Linked DNA regions of Cricetulus griseus. The protein of the gene in region 3 interacts with the protein of the main gene of each other region in a biochemical or structural test. Links are inferred from orthologs where the notes say so. Each region holds a gene or a part of one and is shown on either strand. Other genes may lie near its edges.

Evidence for each region.
Region 1: the proteins of Matk (region 3) and Sirpa form a complex in vitro, tested with the Homo sapiens proteins (3 studies listed by BioGRID, with this or other methods). The link is inferred for Cricetulus griseus from reciprocal best matches to the Homo sapiens genes MATK and SIRPA.
Region 2: the proteins of Matk (region 3) and Lrrk1 form a complex in vitro, tested with the Homo sapiens proteins (2 studies listed by BioGRID and IntAct, with this or other methods). The link is inferred for Cricetulus griseus from reciprocal best matches to the Homo sapiens genes MATK and LRRK1.
Region 4: the proteins of Matk (region 3) and Lrrk2 interact on a protein array, tested with the Homo sapiens proteins (2 studies listed by BioGRID and IntAct, with this or other methods). The link is inferred for Cricetulus griseus from reciprocal best matches to the Homo sapiens genes MATK and LRRK2.
Region 5: the proteins of Matk (region 3) and Kit form a complex in vitro, tested with the Homo sapiens proteins (2 studies listed by BioGRID). The link is inferred for Cricetulus griseus from reciprocal best matches to the Homo sapiens genes MATK and KIT.

The regions. Positions count from the first base shown.
Region 1 is NC_048599.1:49,004,972-49,009,259, forward strand, and holds the start of Sirpa (tyrosine-protein phosphatase non-receptor type substrate 1), read right to left. Parts: upstream 2,807-4,288; 5' UTR 2,788-2,806; intron 2,734-2,787; exon of another isoform or gene 2,606-2,733; intron 2,586-2,605; exon of another isoform or gene 2,067-2,585; 5' UTR 2,058-2,066; coding exon 1,976-2,057; intron 1-1,975. UniProt on the Homo sapiens protein: Immunoglobulin-like cell surface receptor for CD47. Acts as docking protein and induces translocation of PTPN6, PTPN11 and other binding partners from the cytosol to the plasma membrane.
Region 2 is NC_048596.1:130,973,380-130,976,893, reverse strand, and holds part of Lrrk1 (leucine-rich repeat serine/threonine-protein kinase 1), read right to left. Parts: intron 3,486-3,514; coding exon 3,373-3,485; intron 2,936-3,372; coding exon 2,721-2,935; intron 421-2,720; coding exon 256-420; intron 1-255.
Region 3 is NC_048598.1:102,035,485-102,039,468, forward strand, and holds the start of Matk (megakaryocyte-associated tyrosine-protein kinase), read left to right. Parts: upstream 1-1,170; coding exon 1,171-1,251; intron 1,252-1,423; coding exon 1,424-1,483; intron 1,484-2,036; coding exon 2,037-2,150; intron 2,151-2,249; coding exon 2,250-2,365; intron 2,366-2,452; coding exon 2,453-2,672; intron 2,673-2,928; coding exon 2,929-3,022; intron 3,023-3,685; coding exon 3,686-3,751; intron 3,752-3,984.
Region 4 is NC_048595.1:388,273,339-388,276,852, reverse strand, and holds part of Lrrk2 (leucine-rich repeat serine/threonine-protein kinase 2), read right to left. Parts: intron 2,123-3,514; coding exon 1,904-2,122; intron 1-1,903. UniProt on the Homo sapiens protein: Serine/threonine-protein kinase which phosphorylates a broad range of proteins involved in multiple processes such as neuronal plasticity, innate immunity, autophagy, and vesicle trafficking.
Region 5 is NW_023276807.1:142,123,077-142,126,590, forward strand, and holds part of Kit (mast/stem cell growth factor receptor Kit), read left to right. Parts: intron 1-2,234; coding exon 2,235-2,349; intron 2,350-3,514. UniProt on the Homo sapiens protein: Tyrosine-protein kinase that acts as a cell-surface receptor for the cytokine KITLG/SCF and plays an essential role in the regulation of cell survival and proliferation, hematopoiesis, stem cell maintenance, gametogenesis, mast cell development, migration and function, and in melanogenesis.

The DNA.
Region 1 (4,288 bases), on a different chromosome or scaffold from region 3:
GTGATCTTGTGAAGCCCGGCAATCACATGACACCTCCCAGGATGACAGTTCTGCCAGAGACAGCAGTCATTCCACCCAAAGCTGTCTTTTCTGAGCTGACATTTGGGTTTCTTGCTCAAACAAATCCATTTTCCTCGAAAACTGGACAACCGCCCTCCACCTGCCTATCCTATCTTACCTCTTCTTCTTCGATGTAAATCCCACGCCTCGAATAAGAGAGGCTGAGTCCAGCGGGGGCTGAAGTCCCCTCCCTTAGAAAAGACGGGAATGCGATGCTGAGACCCCTGGACTAAGTGTGCAGGTTGCCGGGAGGCTGCAGCTCAATGGCTATACACCGTCCCTTCCTCACTGAGAATCTCATTCTCACCTCGGAAGACTTACACTATGAAGTTAACCTATGTCCCTCCTCTGTTCCCACCCTTTCAGGTTATTGACGCTGAATGGATTGGGACAGAAGGTCCATCTTGGCTATTTTATAGACTATTTTTATAGGTGAGTGTGGGGAAGGGGAGGATAGATAGGCTCTTAAGAAAGGTGCTGTCATTCTCCCAGCCAGCGCCCAGGAAAGACAGGCTGCTGGGTTGAACACTTGTTAATCACTACCTATTTGCCAGGGACTGAGCCATAGGGGCCTGGTCAGAAAGAGGTCTAGAACAAGCCATGTAGATATTAATCCCGGCCCAGCTTTCTGTACTTCGGAGAGGTGCCTGTGGGTTCCCAAGCCCCGGAGGATGGCAGGGCACGGCTGGAACTTTGGCAAGGCAGGAGGAAGCAGATCAGACGCCAGAGCCACTCATAGGAGAGAGGTGAAATTCATCAGCTGGTCCTGAAAGGGCCCAATGGTGACTGAAAACTATGAATGGGGAGAGGCACTTGGTGGGTTCCTGGGGGGTCTGGGGAAACTACAGGGCAGTAAAGAGAGCTCCTGGCTGCCCCACCTCTTCCAGCTTGCCTCTTCTCTCTTCCCCGGGGCTGGCTCCCCCGCCCCCCCTTCTACACTGCTATCAGATGCCAGGCTCTAGGCAAATGTTGGTGAGGAGGGCGCGCTGAGAATATCTTTACCTCCCTGCAAAGGCAAGGTGGCACAGAGATCTCTATGCCGGTTAACACCGATCCAAAAAGACACTAAATAAGGCCCCCTTCTCTCCCTCCCCAGCTGTGTCTCCAACCTTCCTATCCTTCCAGGAGAGACCCAGGATTTTTGCAAACCCCCTTTAAGACGCAGGACTCCTGAATGGTGACCTCACTCCTTGGCCAACCGGCCTTCAGAGCCCTCCTGCGGGAGACAGCCAGGTGTTTGATGTAGACCAACAAAGAAGACAAGCTCAGAGCCACAGGTACATGCGGGAACTGCAGGAGCTTCTGGGAAGCTGCCTCAGGAAGGCAGGAGAGGAGGGTAGCGGGAGAAGATCATCCAGGGAGAGGCTGTGCCACCACAGGTACATCCACCGTGTCTCCCAAGGGGCTGTTGATTACCCAGGCCTCTCTTCCTCTCTCCCACACCTCCACACACTAACAGTGCTTGCTCTGGTACTAGGGGGAGAGCTCACTCTTCCCTCATCCCAACAGCCCAGCAGCAGCGCGGGAGGACCTCTGCCCCCCACCCTCTCTCCAATCAAGTCTAGCAAGGGAGCTATTGGGGAAGCCAGGCGCCCTACTGCCGAAAGCAAATTGCCAGCCTGCCTCCTCATTCGGGTTGGGCAAGGGGTACGGTAAACCAACTCATTCCTATACCTTGCCGCTTAGCGCAGGGCTACACAGTCACAGTCCACAGGGCAGATCCGCATAAGAAGAGTTCTAGCCTGGCTTCTAGCCTGGGCTATGTGACCTTGGGCAAGTGGCTGACCCTCTCTGGGCCTCAATTCTGCATCTGGAACCCTGGTTACAGGCATCTGTCGACACGAGCTGAGCGGCAGTGTGCGGGGCCTGAGCCCGCAGCTTGGGGAGGGTGGCAGTGGGAGCTGAGGGTGCTTACCTGACAAGGAACAGGACGCGGAGAACAGCAGGCAGAGCAGCAGCGGCCCTAGGCGGCCAGCGGCCGGGCCGGCGGGCTCCATGGGCCGCGGCTGCAGAGCAAGGAGGGAGAGCGGCGGTGAGCGCGCTCGGCAGGCGGGCGGGCGGGCGGCGGGCGGCGCGGGCGAACGACTAAGGCCCCTCCCCCTCTGCTGCCCCCCAGCGCCACCGCCCGGCGGGGTGATCTGACCCCCTCCTACAACGAGACGCCGAGCGGGGAGACTCCGGGAGCGTGACGCCGGGCCAGGCCGGCGGGAAAGGGGAGCGGACCCGAGGGAGCCAGGCGCAGAGCCAGAGGCACGGGGGCGGGGGAGCGGATAGCGAGGGAGAGGGAGAGAGGGGGAGAGGAGGAGGAGGGAGAGGGAGCGGGGACCGAGCACTGAGAGCGAGCGCGAGCAGGGACAGCTCGCAGAGCGAGTGCGGGCTGCGCCGAGCCGCCGCGAGGCCAGCGCGAGGGCGGCCCGGCCGAGCGCCCCCGCCCCGCGCCCGCACCTTCCCGCCCGCGCCCCAGTGCGCCCCGCGAGCTGCGCCGCCCGCCTCGCCTCTGCGCGAGCCCGCTCTGCCCGTGCGGGTCCCCGCCAGCCGCTCGGACCTGCGCCGCCGCGCGCAGGGCTGCCAGGCGGTGGAAGCACCGCTCCCGCTGCCCAGAGGCTGGCCGCGCAGCACTTTGCGCAAACTTGTTTGTCTGAGGTCGGCACCGCGGGCTGGCTACTCCGTCCTCTTAAGGTGGACTGGAGAAGTGGCAGCCGATCGCTACTGGCCTCGGCCTCTCACCCTGGCCAGTCCTCGCCTCCAGTGGGCAAGAGGCTGCCCGCGGCGCGCTGGCCCAGGATAGAGAATGGAGGAGGCGGGGAGGCTTGCTTTCTGCCCCTCCCCAAGAGGCCCTGTTCATGTATCCCAAAGCAGAAGGTCTGCCTCCGGGTGGGTGTGGGTCTTAGGGGCCCAAATCTTTCCAAGCTGGCCCGAGGTAAAGCAAAAGCAGGAAGTGAATGCAGGGGGAAGGGGGGAGAGGAAGGAGAGAGTGATGGTACAAAAATAGCGTGTGTGTAGGAAGGACTTCAGTGCCTCTTGGTAAAGACGCACTGGGGGAGAAGAGTAGCACGAAAGCTGTGGCAGGGAAAGGGGAAGGGTAGGGTTGGGCCTTGGGGAGGAGACTGACCAGAGGCCTTCTCAGCAGGGAGAGTAGATTGAGGTTAGAGAGGGCACAGACAGAACTGTGCTGAGAGAGGCCTGCTGCAAAATGATGACCCTAATGAGCCAGACAGAGAAAGGAGAGCTAACCCCAAAGGACAGAGCCTCTGGATTCAAAATGCACCCTAGCTCCGGGGTTTCCTGAGGGAACGCTAGAAGCACTCAGATCAAGTGCTTGGTCATCTGCAGAAGGCTGCCTGCGCACCAAAGCAGAGAAGAGGAATCAAGACCCTCCACTAATTGGAGAGTTTGAGTTGAAGTAAGTTCAGAGATAGCCAATTTTGCTTCCCATGATGGCAGTTGAGGGACATAATGAAGTAATGAAGCAAAGCAGGCCCTGCTGTCTCGGTCTCTTAATAAAGAGGATGTTGAGGCTCAGAGACCAGGAGGGTGATTGCCTAAGGCCAGGCCTCAGGTAGAAAGTCCCTTATGCAATGTCACCCCTCTGTCCTCTGCACCTCTGGCCAAAAGCCTGGTTCTGGTTTTTTGTTTTGTTTTTGTTTTTTTGTTTTTTTTTTTCTTCCAGAGAGGCAAGCAGCGTGCAGCTGTTAGACATAGGGACCAGCATCCAACGCTTAGATCTTAGAAGCTGCAGACTAGGAGAAAGACCTTGTTTCTGTGCCCTGGCTTCCTTTTAAGCAGCCAGGCCAACATGAGCAGCGACCCAGAACTGCCATTGGGAGGGTTACATGAGTTGATATTTGCACTGCGTTTTAAGAAGAGCTCACCATGTACCAAGGGCAAGAACTGTGTTTGAGAAGTGTTTGGCAGCAGGTCCTTGAGGGACCACAGGGCAGCCCTAGCAGAAATATTAGTTGTATTTCTTTGGGCCTAGGGGATTATAACAAGAACCCACCTATAGTCTACTAGAAGGTGCAGGTATGTGCAAGCCGAAAGTCTGGTAAGGAGGTATGTGCACACACGCACATGGGTGTCAGCTCATTTAGCTAAGGACGACAGTGTGTAGAAGCCATACTTCTGGAGAGTAGTCCAGAAGACAAAGAAAATTAATTCTGTGGATGGGAACCACTGCAGGCAGGATCAGATAGGGACTACCATGTTTGATTTACATGGAATACACAGG
Region 2 (3,514 bases), on a different chromosome or scaffold from region 3:
GAGTGCCTTGCATGCATGGGCTATTAGGTTTCAGGTAAGTAAGAAAATGACAAGAGCACTGGGCCCTAAGGACCAGGAGGCCTCTGAGTTCTCAGTATGAAAATCATGCAAGGCCACGATTTGGGACCCCCCTGGGAAAGCCCTTCTTTCTCCTGTGCACTGTCCCTTTGTTCTTGATCCACATAATGCTTCAGAACACAGAACCCTGTGGTGCTGGGTCCTGAGTACTAGAAGGCAAAGATGGTGGCTCCTCACCTCGATGTTGAGCAGCCAGAACTGGAGGTTGGCCACAGCTTCCTCCCCCAGTGCCAGGTTCCAGACCACTACATACAGGGCCTTGTCTGTGAAGAAGCACTGATTGACGGTGGCCATGCTGGCAGGACCCCCAATGTCCCAGACGTTGAACTCCACGGACTCAACCTACTTGAGCAAGAAGGCACAGAAGGGGGGGCACATTTGAGTGACCGAGGGAGTGAGGAAACCACAAGAAAGTTTACAACCTGGAATGTGTCTGGAAAAGACAATGCAGTGGTAGAAAAGTTACAGACTCCAGTGTGTCTAAGTTAGCAATCCTGGTGAGGGAAAAGAGCCCAGTGGCCCAAAGGTAGACTTCTGGGAGCTTCTATTTGCTGCAAACAGAGTAGGGCATCTGAGAAGATCATGGCCTGTCATATTGCTTATCTTAGGCTCTCCACAGTTGGAAGACATCTGGTGGCAGAAGGGCCCCCACTTTGACATCATGGCTCCACCCTATCTGTGCAAGGGCCAAATGGAGGAGGCACCCTTGAACTTATGTAGGTCAAAGGTTAGGGCCCACCAATGAGGCTTGGGAAATCCCCCCTGACTTGAGAATCCAACAACAGGAACTGGGCTGCCAGTAAGGCCGTGGAAACGGTTTCTCTATCACTATATGAGCTCAGAGCTGGCCTGGAAACCAAGACTACAGTGAGCTATAGCCAGGAGTCATTTCCATGAGGCAGCATTTGGCCTCTAAGACATACAGCATGCTGACCTGGTTTAGTATACAGATGAAAGCAGACAGCTGTTCTTAGCCAGCTAAAGGTCAGCCGCACAGGGCAGGAGGGGCCCACAAGAGCAGCAGTGGCTTTCGAGTGAAGGCGGTTTCAGGCCAGCCTGGGCACCCATGCACTGAAGAAAAGCTGGGAGCAAAAGTGACTGAGTCACTGACAAAACAGCAAAGCCAAGGGTACTGTAGAAAATTCTGGTTACTTGAGAGAACCGTCAGACGTGAGTCAGCTAGAGTCACTCCCTGTCTGTTCCGAGTAGGCCTGGCATTCATTACATCACTGTTCGGAACTCAACAGGCAGGACCCTGCTCTTATTTTTATTTTGGGTGCTGGAGATTGAACTCGTGGCCTTACAAATGCCCAGCACAGGCTGTCCTACCAATGTGTACTCCTAGCCCCAAGGGTCCTGTTGCGGGGGGGGGGGGAAGCTCCTAGTATGTTTGCTTACACCATCAGAAGGTTCCGTTTCTCAAACTGGATTTCCCTGATTTGGAAGGTGGTTTTATGTACAAAAACTCTGCAGTCAAACTTAGCCCTCATTGTGCTGGGCTTGGAGAAGAAAACCAGGCCCATTCTGGACACAGCCTCTCTGCTTTCTACCCTGTCACCCTTTCTCCACCGGGGATCCCTGAATCACCACAGTGAGGCAGAGACACACATACAGCAGAGGAGGACGGTACTGTCTGGCACTCGGGGAAAACCACTTTATGTCTGTTCTACGGATGGAGTGCTGTTATGGTTTGAACTGGAAATGTCTGCTAGTGGCTTATGTCTTGAACACTTGGTCTCCTGCTGGTGAAATCTTAGGAGGTTCTAGAGATGTGGGAGGTGAGACTTGGGGGCAGTAGGTCACTAGAGGCGAGTCCTTGGGAGGGTATTATCCTGGCCACTTCCTGTCACTCCCTGCTTCTTGTCCCCCACAGTGTGAGCAGCTATCTTCATCAGACACATCAACCATCATGATGTTCTGCTCAACAGAAGGGACCAAGCAACAGTGGAATAAACCACATATATATGCTCCCCTCTAAGTCATTTCTGATAGGTATTTTGCATTTTGGTCACAGCAACATAAAAGTGTAACATAAGTGCCAGGCTGAGGTCCCACTGGTTCTTTTCTGCTTCAAAAGGCTTTTTTAAAAAAAGTTTATTTCCACCTGCTTGGTCCTGAATAGAAAAGAAGATGATGAACAAATTGGTAAAGAATTCATCTTAAACAGGATATTGAATGGAATTTTTTCAGGGCTTGAATGGAAGCAGGAATCAGGGAGGATGATGGACTGACTCCTGGGGTACCTTCTCAGTCTCCTTTTAAGGGGGCTGAGAGATGCTGAGGTACACCTCACTGTCTGCTCTGGTGCTTTGTTCTTAGCCCTAGGGGAGCCCCACCCCAGCCTATTTGAAGCTAAGTCACCGAGGCCAGCTTTGAAGTCTGAGCATGCACTCAGAGAGAACCACAGGGGAATCCAGCAGACAAGCAGGGTCAAGAACCATTGGCCCAGAGCCTTGACTTCATTATGACAGAAAGACTACAAGGTCATGGAAAGAACCGATTCGTCACTCTTGGCAAGAGCTGGTGAGCAACAGCACAGAATGTCTTGGGCCTTGCACTCAGAATGTCCAGGGTCTCCAGGGGAATGGAGAACAGACCACAGGGAGGTCCCTCCCTCCCACTGCATGTCCACCATCCTTCACCTTGGCTTTGGAGCCTGCTGGCCTCTGGAGCTCCCACTTGGTGGTTCTGATGGTGGCCTCGCTGTGTGCTACCTGGGGGGCCTTCCCCGTCTGTAAGATCTCCAGGAGTGTGGACTTGCCCTGGCGTGGGGGACCTACGAGGATCATCTTCATCAGCTTACACTTCTCTGCTTTGCGTAGCTGAGCACGCAGGAAGGACAGTGTCGCTTTGGGGCCTGTGAGAAATCAGAGGAGGGGGCAAGTGAACACCCTAGGTGATGTATAACGGGGATGCACTCACATTTCTTAAGAGGCCAAATTCCATCCCAATTTCTAGGTGTTCCAAGGGAAGATGAGGAATCTGAGAGCAGGAAGGGATGACAATAACTACCCCCAAAATTAAGTGTGACAGCCAGGACTGAAGGACAATATCCTTGCTGCCCTGGTTGCCGTATTTTACTACCTAGCCATTCCCAATTGATGTTGGTAGCTTATCGCTGTTGATAGCTAATCGCTGTTGAGAGCTACTGTGCTGGGGCCATCTCCCCAAACTCTGAGGTTGGAGTTGGGCCCCACAGTTCATTCACCCACTGACTCCATCCTTCAAAGCTACCAAGGGAACCTGAGTTATCTTTTCACGGCAGTGATGTGAACAGGGCTGAGGAGGCCCTACCTTCTTTCCTGATCTCTGCAGGTACATTGCCAATGTTCAGGTCTTCAATGTCCAGTTGCCAGAGGTTTCCCAGCTGGCCTAGCTCAGGAGGAAGCTCTCGGAGGCCAGGATTACTGAAGCGAGCAAGTGAGAGAACAAGCAC
Region 3 (3,984 bases):
AGATAAACCTGCCTCTGCCTCCTGAGTTCTGTGAGAACATTTGAGAGCCCCTCAGTAGTGCGTGCCTGGCATTTCTGGAAGTATCTGTCTGTGAGTGGCCAGGCTCACAGTGAAGCCGGAGTGGAGGCTGCAGCGTGGAGGCCGCTGTGCCCTGCTTGCCTTGATCGCCTCCCCAGACAGGGAGCTCCTTCCTTCTCTCGCACCTGCGCGTGCGCGAGCCATTTCGCATTCCCAGCCTTTCTGGGGTGGGCTACGGAAGGCCGAGGCTCAGCGGGGCCCCAGAGAACACCGGGCACACAGCACTCGGCACCCAGCATCCCGCCTGGTGCGCGGGAGACGGAGGAGGAGGAGATCGCAACTCGGCCCGCAGTACGGCCGGCGCTAGGACCCGCGGGGGCTCTGAGCCGGGTCCCCTCCATCCTCGCCCCAAAATGAGGAAGCGGAGCAAGTTGCTCCGAGTTGAGCCTTGGGGCGTAAGACCCGTTGGCGGGAACCCTCCCGGGGTCGCGCCCTGAGCAGGTGAGCGCGTGCGCGCGGGTGGAGAGGGTACGACCCCCAAAATGGTCCTGGTCCGGAGGCGTCAGAAGGCTGTTTTTTTTTTTTTTTTTTTTTTTTTTTTCTGGGTGCGGCGTGCGCGTCTCTGAGTGCGCGCGCCCCGGTGATCACTGCAGGGCCCGTGTGCGCCGCAGGGACAGGCACTGGTGCCCACGTCTAGCAGGCGCCTGTATCGCGCACATGCGGGTGTCCGGGTGGCACCTGTGCCCAGATGCACGTGCGCCTCTGCCTGCGCGCAGCAGCCCTGCAAACCCCACTGAGCCCGAGGCCAGAAGCGCACCCCAACCTCCTGCTCTGACCCCTGCCAGCAGGACCCGGGCAGTAACTGCCTTGCACTGCCCACGCTGGGGTGGCGTGGGTCCTTCCAGATGCTTCCTTGGTGACTCCTGGTGACCCGAGGAGCCTCACAGGAGCCCGTCCTCCCCAGGCTCCACCCAGGGTCAGATTCCCAGGAATGACCTTGAGTCACCGCCCCTGCCCATGGCCCAGAAAAGAGGAAGCCTCAGGCCGGGCTCCTGGCACCGTCCTCCGCCCCCCTCCCACAGCCCTGGCTGCCACCAGAGCCATCGGATCCCTCCACTACTGCCTCCGGGCCTCAGTTTCCCTTCCCGAGCAATGGCAGGGCGAGGGCGAGGGAGAGACTCCGGGGTCTCATGGCTGGCCTTTGATGGCTGGGAATCTAAGGATCTTCCTCGGGTAACCATAACTTCCCAAACCAAGGGCTGCAGAGGGAATCAGGACCTAAGCCACCTGAGGGATGATTGAGGGGGGGCTCTTGGCCTCCTGGCTGCTGCTTCCACCCTGCCAGACCCAGAGGAAGGAGCTGGACCTGGGGACAACCCCAAGCATGACACTGACTCCTCCACAGGTGAGCCCTCGCTTCCTCCGAGCCTGGCACCCCTCGCCTGCCGCAGCTAGGATGCCAACCGTGAGTGTGGGGCCCCAAGTCACCAGACCTTCCTCTACTGTCCTCGTGGGGTGGGGGCATGCACCCCGAGGCAAGCTTCCACCCAGTCCCCATGGACCCGGCCAGAGGCAACCCAGGCCTCTACATGTGCCGGTGATTCTGGTCTCTAACTCAGTTTCCCTCCACCCTCTGTCCCCTTTTCTGTCTATTAGACACCCCCAGGCTTTTATTTATTTTTTTATTTTGCTTTTGAGACAGAGTCTCACTATATAGAGATGCCTAGCTTGGAGCTCAGTATGTAGCCCAGACTGGTCTCAAACCCACAGAAATCCACCTGCCTCAGCCTCCCAAGTTCTAGGATTACAGGTGTGAGCTACCACACCCAGCATTATTTAGCTGGTCTGGAATCCTCCTGTCTCAGTCACCTAAGTGCCAGGCTCCAGGCCCGTGTCTTCACTACTTCCTTGTCCTGTCCTCTCCCCACCAGCCCAAAGTTTCTCCCAGTCTCCCTGTCCCTCCCAATGTCCACTTCTCCCTCCTGTCCCTGACACCCCTGCCTCCATCTCATCCCTAGAGGCGCTGGGCCCCTGGGACTCAATGTATGACCAAGTGTGAAAACTCACGCCCTAAGCCGGGTGAGCTGGCCTTCCGAAAGGGTGACATGGTGACCATCTTGGAGGCTTGTGAGGTGAGGAGGGAGCTGAAGGGTGGTTGGGGTGCACTTAGGGATTCCAGGACAGAGAGACACCTGCTCCTTCCCTTCCTCCATCCCCTCCCCATCGTGCAGGACAAAAGTTGGTACCGTGCCAAGCACCACAGCAGTGGGCAGGAGGGGCTACTGGCAGCTGCTGCTCTTCGACAGCGGGAGGCCCTCTCCACAGACCCCAAGCTCAGTCTCATGCCGTGAGTGGCACCCTGGTGGGGTGGGTGACATCAGGGCCTCAGCCATCCTTGCCCCATGTGGCATTGTCTCTCCACGGCTCGCCACAGATGGTTCCATGGAAAGATCTCAGGCCAGGAAGCGGTACAGCAGCTGCAGCCACCTGAGGACGGGCTGTTTCTTGTTCGGGAATCAGCTCGTCACCCCGGAGACTATGTCCTGTGTGTCAGTTTCGGCCGAGATGTCATCCACTACCGTGTCCTGCATCGTGATGGCCACCTTACCATTGATGAGGCTGTCTGTTTCTGTAATCTGATGGACATGGTGGAGGTGACCTGTGGCTGGGGCAGCAGGGGTGGAAAGGTGGATGGGTCCCCAGGAGCCTCACTTGTCTCTAGAACTGGAGCCACTTCTCCAGGGAGCCCCTCACTCTGCATTCTGCACCTTCCACTGTTGCCATGGAAACACACTCATCTTAGCCTGGACCTGGGAGGTTCTGCTTACCCCACTGAGTCGATTGGAGGGGGAGGGACAGGGAGGACAGGGGTCCCTAGAGCCAGAGGCTCATGACTACTGGTCCCCACAGCATTACACCAAGGACAAGGGTGCCATCTGCACCAAGCTGGTGAAGCCAAAGAGGAAACAGGGCACCAAGTCAGCCGAGGAGGAGCTTGCAAAGGGTATGCTAGCCACTAAGGAGAGATCATCTCATACACAGCAGCCCAGACTCGGCCTCACCTACCACCCCGGCCTCCTGCCTCCCACCCCAGCCTTGTCTTGGTTAAGCCCCTGACTCTTCTAAGTCAAATTGTCATATGTCTCCTGTGGGATCTGGAGTCCCAGAGTTGTGCCCATGATGGAGCAAGGTATCTGTCCTGCTTCAGTCTTCAGAGTCTGGAATTAGAGAGCTCTGGGGGGAAAGAGGAGGGCTTTCAGAAGCAACAGCGGGGTTTGCACAGCATGCCAGAGCCTGCCAGAGACATGTTCAGGAATATTCCAGAACCTGTGTGCCTCTTGATCTGCATGTATCCTGGGGAGATCAGTAATGGGAAGAGCAGGCTTGGAGGGGCACAGAGCAGCCACAGTCCCTGTCCATCGAGGGAGGTCCTGGAGCCACAACTGAAGCCTGGGGAACCTGGTGGGATTGAGTTCTGATGATCTCCTTGGACAGCCTGCAGCTTGCAGGATTGTAATTTGTACCAGGAGTGAGGTGTCCACCCCATACAGCCTTGGGGCAACTGCTGGGGGGTGTGCACAGCTGTGGGGATGCTGGCTTTCCACATCTCGCTGGTGGGAAGGAAGGACTCCTGTCCAGCTCTGACCCTGTCTCTCTGTCCCTGCAGCTGGCTGGCTACTCAACCTGCAGCACCTGACTCTAGGAGCACAGATTGGAGAGGGGGAGTTTGGAGGTGAGGAGGGTCACAGAGCACACTGCTGGACAGTGCAGGACAGGCGAGCGTTGTCAGGCACTAGGGCAACAGCCCCAGCTCACCTCCCAGGATCCTCCTAGGAGCTCTGCTTAGAATGCCTTCCCTGTGTGCATTACCCTGGGACTTAGATCAGAGGGTGGTAAGCTCTTGTCAGTCCACCAGCCTTGTCCATCCCGAGCAGCCGGAAACTATGCAAACATGGGCAGGACCTG
Region 4 (3,514 bases), on a different chromosome or scaffold from region 3:
TCTTCACCTTTCTCTTTGATAATGCATTGGATCACTACCAGACTGAGGTAGGGAAGAAAAACAAAACCCTTCTGAAGAACACAGATATGTGTTTATAAATAAAAGGAGTCAAGACAAAAAGAAGGTAAAGGAGGCATGGCAGGGAGAGCTCTCTCATCAAGTCAAAGCTGCTCCTTGAAGATGGGTTGCAAGCCTCAAAGACGACAGTATCCCAGCAAGGCAGGCTCTCCCACCCCACCATCTGAAAAAAACATCAAAGCAAGCCAGTGCATTCTCAAACCAGCATGCCAGAATGGGGTAAACATTAGCAATACGCATTCTTATTTAATAATACTGACGTTTGGGGAATCGTGTTTTGCTTCTTTGCATAGAGTTGTTGTAAAGATGCATTTATAAGAAGGAATCCGGTCTCACTGATTGACAGTAATAATTTGGAGCCTTCTCAACGTAGTATTAATCTAGATGGCTGACTCAGTCACCTCCCCATAGCAGCATCCGTTGGGACTACTGATCCAACTACCTCACTTACAGGCTTGCTTCAGCTACATTCAGGCTTTTACAAAACAAACTCATCTCCCAAGATGGGTCTTTAAATCCTTGGCATATGCTTTTAGCAACAGCAGAAGAAGGAAAATCTAACAAAATATCCCAAGGAACAAGGACATTCTTTAGGTGCAGTTACAACCAGAGAAGTATACTAACTGGATAAACAGATTAATTCAATGAGCAGTTTGTATATCTGTGTTTTAAAGAGCCAGACTCCCGCTAATCTTTTTAGTCCCACGGGAGAATTGAAAAAGAAAAGCAACACAGAATGCTTCTAATACTTGACACCATTCTTATGCAAATAGTATCCAAACTAGGAAGACTTTCTAGTAACTATTAAATGTGTGTTGAACAGTTTCTCTCCCTGGGTACCACAGAGACAAACTCATCCATAGATGGCCCATGTGTCTTCTGAGAGGAGTAGAACTTGTGGAAGTGCAACAGAGCTGAGCAGGCGGGCCACTGTGGCTTATTTAGCATTCCAAATTGGAGCAGTTTTGAGAATGCAATGTGGCCCTGTAAGAAATTGCTCTGGGATACCCAGGCCAGATGGCACCCTGCCTACACTCTAGGATCTCCACAGAGCCAAAACAGAAAGACTTGGCATTGTGTTTGCCACACTGAAGTACCCAGCACATTTTCCAGAAATTTCAACTATATTCCTTTCTTTCCCGTGAGTAGTGGAAAAGTGTATTCTTCCCGATGACCCATTTATTGATGTTTTCTAAACAAGTGGTTTACCAAAGAGAGCGAAAGGAATTTAAACACAAGTCTTAAGATGGAACCTAGCTTTACAAATTAGGTAATTAAAGATTTCGGAAAACCGACTAGTGGTCTTGACAACTCACAATATTAAGAGAAAAAAGCCTAAACAAACAAACATACAAACACAAATGAAAACACCAGAAAAAGAATTATGAAGGAGTCAAACAGATGATCAAGATGCAAGTAAAATAGGGACTCCCAAAGGAAGGTGCTAGAAGAACAGATTCCACAGAGGACCAGAGACCCAGGCCCCACTGTCCTATTTAGCCTCTGGATGGAACCCATGGAGAGGAAGCAGGGAGAGCAAGTATCTGGATGATACTCAGTATCCTGGCAAGATTCTCCTACTTCTTCTTGAGATCTGCTAGTTAATTTTATCCCCACTTCCATGAATTATAAATGAAGTATAGTATAAATAAATAATTTTAAAGTGAAAGTATTTTCATAGTTCTCAGCTTTGAAAAAAAAAACCTACAATTACCAGATAATTGCTCTCTCCTCAAGGTTTCTGACATTTCTAAGCAGCAGTATAATGAGAGGAAGAACAAGGGGTAGTTATCTAGCAGCCTGCAGGGGATGCACACCCTCCCACCTTGAAATTAAGACTCTCATTGATGATGGTTTTCCGAAGCTTTGCCAGTGCATCAGACTCCTCGGTGGCATTGACAAAGTGGTAGTCCCGGATGGTGGGGAATCCTCGCTTATTTAGGAGTTCCTTGGTGATTTTGCTTATGCAGGCTTTGCGCTGCTTCTCGTCGGAAACATCCAAATGCGTGCCCACCAGAATCACCGGGGAAGAAGAGGCTCGAGCCTAGGGGAACAGGGACAAGACACTTCCTGTTTATGTAAAAAATCCTTTCTGGTTCCATTTCTGCTGGAATCTGCTATGTATGAAACTCAGTGCCGCAGCTATGACAGACTCAGGGACTTCAGAAGCAGACAGTAGCAACTGTCTTTCTATGCTGCTAGTGTGAGCATACTTCTCTAAAGGACATGTCTTGAAATTCAATCCAGTGACACAGGAGTGTCTTGAGATGGGAGTTTTATGAGATGCTTATAGTCACAAGGACTGAGCCCCGTCATCACCCCAAAGGACACCAGTAAAGGATAAGTTATCTCCCCTTTCCCTTTGCTGTTGGGCATGTGTGCTCATGTCCTCCTGCATTTCATCATGAAATGACACATCAGGAATGGCCTTGAAGATGCCAACCTCAAGGTCTTGGATTTCCCTCCCCCCAGAACTGTGAGAGAGAAATCTCTGTAGTTTGTGACCCTCTTAGGCGTGGATATGCTGTTACAGCAGCAAACGGCAACAGAGACATTTCCTGAAACTTAAAATAATGATAATCATAAAACAATTTTAAAGTCATTGTTATGTCTTTTTAGTCCAATTCTTATCACTTTGGAGGTTCCTACATAATAACTGTGTTAGTGTGGTTTTTCTTTTATTTTAACATTTGCCTAAAGCAGGTTGTTTGCAAGCTGTGTTTCTAAATAAAGGAATTGTTCAGTAAATTCCAAACTACATCAGAACAGCATAAAACATGCCCACCTCTGTTCATTAGCTGTTAATTTTATGCTCTGAATTCACTTTAAAGTCATTCAGTTCGGAGAATGAGAGACCAAAGTCTCAGAAGCAAGCCTTACTGCCACTGTTCTATTTGCTCAAGTTGCTATAATATCACCAAGAAAAGGATGCTTAAGAAAGATCCGAATTACCATGATACAAAGATACACTCATGAACTACCAGATTCTGTGAGCAGATGTCCTGGTGTAAACTTCTTGAGGACCTCACTCCCGGAAGAGCTCCTTGAGGCATCAGAGAGCAAGTACAGGGACTCTTGCTACAACCGCAATTATTCAAAAGGTCATTTTAAAGAAATGGCCATCAGCAGGGACACAGGAGATGGTAGAGAAATAGCAAAACAGAGACACCAAAGACAGGAGCCAAACAGTCTGGTGCCATTCTCAGAGCAGGATCTGAAGGCTTCATACTAAAAGGTCACTAAACATGTACTACCCATTACAGAGTGTGTTTGGTACACTTCATCTTAAATTGGGAAAGTTGGTATGTCGCTTAACAAAACAGAAACAGTATGATCAAAATCAGTTGTGTATCTGTGCTTTCAGATCTTACAGTGTAAAAGGCTGGTGATATGCAACAACGCAAGACGCCTCACTTCTGTATCAGTAACAAAAATC
Region 5 (3,514 bases), on a different chromosome or scaffold from region 3:
TAATTCCCTTGGGTGGTCTCAAATTCATTCACCAGCTCTTATTGGGTGTCTACTGCCACCAGACCTACACCCTAGTCTAACATGCAGCTCTTGCCATTGAGAGTCTGATGGAGGAGGTGAAGCATGAGCTTGAAAAACAAAGTCCGGTGCTCCTTAGGGCCCCAGGATCAGGGATAGAGACCAACCAACTTGGCTTGGGAGAAGTGTGGGGTTCCTTACAAGTGGTAGTGACTTCTTGAGCTGAGTCCAGAGAGACTCACCGTATGGCTACTGCAGTTTCCAGCAAAATAGCATTCTCCTAAGAGTTCACTGTTGTTTTATGTCCTACTTTTTGACCTGATCCTACGGTTGCCTGTGATAATTAAATGAAACTTGCCAGATGGATGCTTTTGCAAGACGATGGCTCGTCTTCTTGCTCTATTTGTGAAATCTGGCATTAGATCCAAATTCTCAAGGGTGCTTCTACCTTGAGGATGGCTTTGGGAGGGTAGTGGCTCTTTTTGTGGTATTTGCCAAATGTCCTGCCATCAGCAGGAACAGGTTGAGTGACAGGTGGGTGTGTCATGCATGTGGACACTGATCCCTGCCAACCCATCTTGCTTCCAAGGAGGTGGCGTGCTGAGCAATGACTCTCAGAGATGTCATTCAACATTGCTACTGCCTTTGGGAAAATGAAGTCCTTCAGCTTCTGACCTGCCAGTCTTTGCGTCTCTCATCTATTGCTCTTATTAGTTTGCATGTAATTGATGTTGAAATTCCACTACTTCCGGTTAAAACACATGCTCGCGTGCGTACACACACACACACTGTCACACTGTCACACTGTCTTAAAGCAGAAATTTTCAGAACATTAAAGGGAGAATGAAGGGTGGTAAATATTGTCCACTTAATCATAGCCAGCTTGCTTATTTGGGGAGCATAGTAGTCCAATAGAAAACAACCAAATCAGTAATAATAATAACAATAATAATAATAATAATAATTATTATTATTATTATTATTATTAATGCATTATTACATGCCTGTATGTCATTCTTGGTTCTTTAAGAGATATTTATGACATTTGCATATATGTGTGTCTTTGGGGGGCTGCAGTGTGTGCCATGTGCCACAGCATGCTTGTGAAGGTAAGACTGTGAGTACCACAACTGTGGATCCCAGGAACCAAACTTAGATAGTCAGGATTGGTGGCAATCTTCTTTACCTGCTGGGACATCTCAACAGCCTTCATTCTTAGTTCTTTGCATGCTCCGTCACATTTACTCAACACCCTGCAAGATGGTCACCATTGTTCCCTTTCTATAAATGAAGAAGTAGAGTCAAGAGGGGGATTTGGAAGCGTAATCAGTTTGCACTGTCCATTACATCCCTGCCTTGCTGCTTCTGAAGTCTCCAGTGGTTCAGGTGGCCATCTCTACCTGCATGATGCTGACTGTTAACTGGTTCACCCTCAAAGGGCTGGAAGCCTTCAAGTATGATGCTATCAGAACTGTGCCGTACAAGTTCATCTTCCTTTCACTTGAGAAATAATTTCAAGAATTTGAAATTGTTGAATATCAATTGATTATTGTAGTTACACAGGACTGTCAAATTAGTCTTCCTGCTGGTATAATTTATGTTTTTGCTGATTACTCTCAGGCTATAGATAATATGTATGAACAAAACGTCGTGGCAGGTTTCTTCCTGTTTTCTGTCCAAGTGTTGTGTGAAATAAAGGTTTAGATGCTCGTACTGCCATTCACTATCCAGTTTTAGCTTTCCTGTAAGTATAGCAATCCACCTCTTATCAGCACCATCTCTTGCACTTCCTAAAAGGAGAATGTAGCTTCTATTTTTTTGCAACAATTCCTGATTTCAGCCATTCCAGTGTCCATAATTTAACATGACGTGTCTGGGCAGGTAGAGTGACTTGAACTCCTATTGTCAAGGAATCTAGTTGAGAATGCTGATTTTTGACCTGAAGCAGAAACCAGCCAGGTTGGTCTTGGCAGCCTGTGGTATGTAGAGTTCTTCAGGATCCCTATGCCTTCAGGTAGATAGGGGTCCATGCAGGGCTGGACAGTGTACCTCCTGAGCCCTCCAACCACCTTCAGATGTCTTCCATCACTAGTTTGGGTGAGCAGCAAGTCAGGTTCCTCAGTGGCCTCTGGAAGGATCTAGGGATGGTATAAGAAAGAATGAGACAATCATCAGGGTTGTTTAGCAGACTGACATAGCTATTTCTCTTCCTGCAGCAAAGCCAGAAATCCTGACGTCTGACAGGCTCGCGAATGGTATGCTCCAGTGTGTGGCAGCGGGATTCCCAGAGCCCACAATAGATTGGTATTTTTGTACGGGAACAGAGCAAAGGTGAGAGGATTATTTTTGGCACTGCTTAAAATTCAGAAGGGAAGGGCTATAATTCAATTGCATTTCAAATGTGTTTTCAGACTTACTATTTATTTATATTTTTTTTAGAATAAAAAGCTGCATTTTGATAATTTCTTTTTCTCCTATATCTTTGTGGCTTTTTAAGAAGGGATAATGGCTATATTTTTCTTGGTCGACATTAATTTTGTTTGCTGAAAAATGATTACTGAATGCCTTCTCTATTTTGGTAGTTATCTTTTTGGGTTTATCGTGCAATTTCTAGCCTGCAGGTAGATAAAGCAATTTCCCAGGGCAGAGTAATTAGATTTCCATTCTATACACAGGAGGCAATGTGTGTGGGAAATGTGGCTGCAGTTATCATGAAAAAAATTACCTCAGAAGTTAATTGCCAAGTAACCAAAAGTAATGATCGCACAATTACAACATACATATGGCGTTTGTGAGCAATGGGTTTGAAAAAGTGTTTCTCCTTGATTAGGTGCCCAGCCCCTGAAAAAGGAACATCTGCCATTGTGTGGCTTTCCCTCGACGTCCACACTTAAGCCTTAAATTGTCCTCTTGAATTACCTGAAGATGAAAACAGGGTCAATGTGCCATTTTTACACATCAAACACCGTGTTATACTCCAGTTTCAAAAGCTTAGTTTGGCCTCATGGATAGTCAGAATGGCGGTGGAAATCTTATTTTACATGGAAGACATTTTATGACAACACGTTAGGATGTTGGCTTGTTGTTTTGGTGTGGGTTTCACCAGAATGTTTTGTTTGGGGGGTACATAAAACCTCTGAATGCTGTGCCTTCCATGACATGGCCTGAGTAGATATCTTGCGCTCAGCAAAATGTTTACATGGAAGCCAACTGTGTGCCAGATGCTTGTCTAGTGTACACCATGCTCGGCTGTACCCACATCTCTGCCTGGGTGTATCTGAATTCTAGTGGGCATAGAAGAGATAGCAGACAAGATGAGCAATTGATTGGTATGTGTAGGTGTTTAGAAGGCAATGGAAAAGAGGTGTTCAGAGACTGTTTCCTGGAGATCCTTGCAGCCAGAGTGGTCATCACACACATGGCATGTGCTCCCATCTCCGAACCTAACTTTTTGAGTTTTTTGTTTTGTTTTGTTTTCAGGCTTGTTGATTTCCTG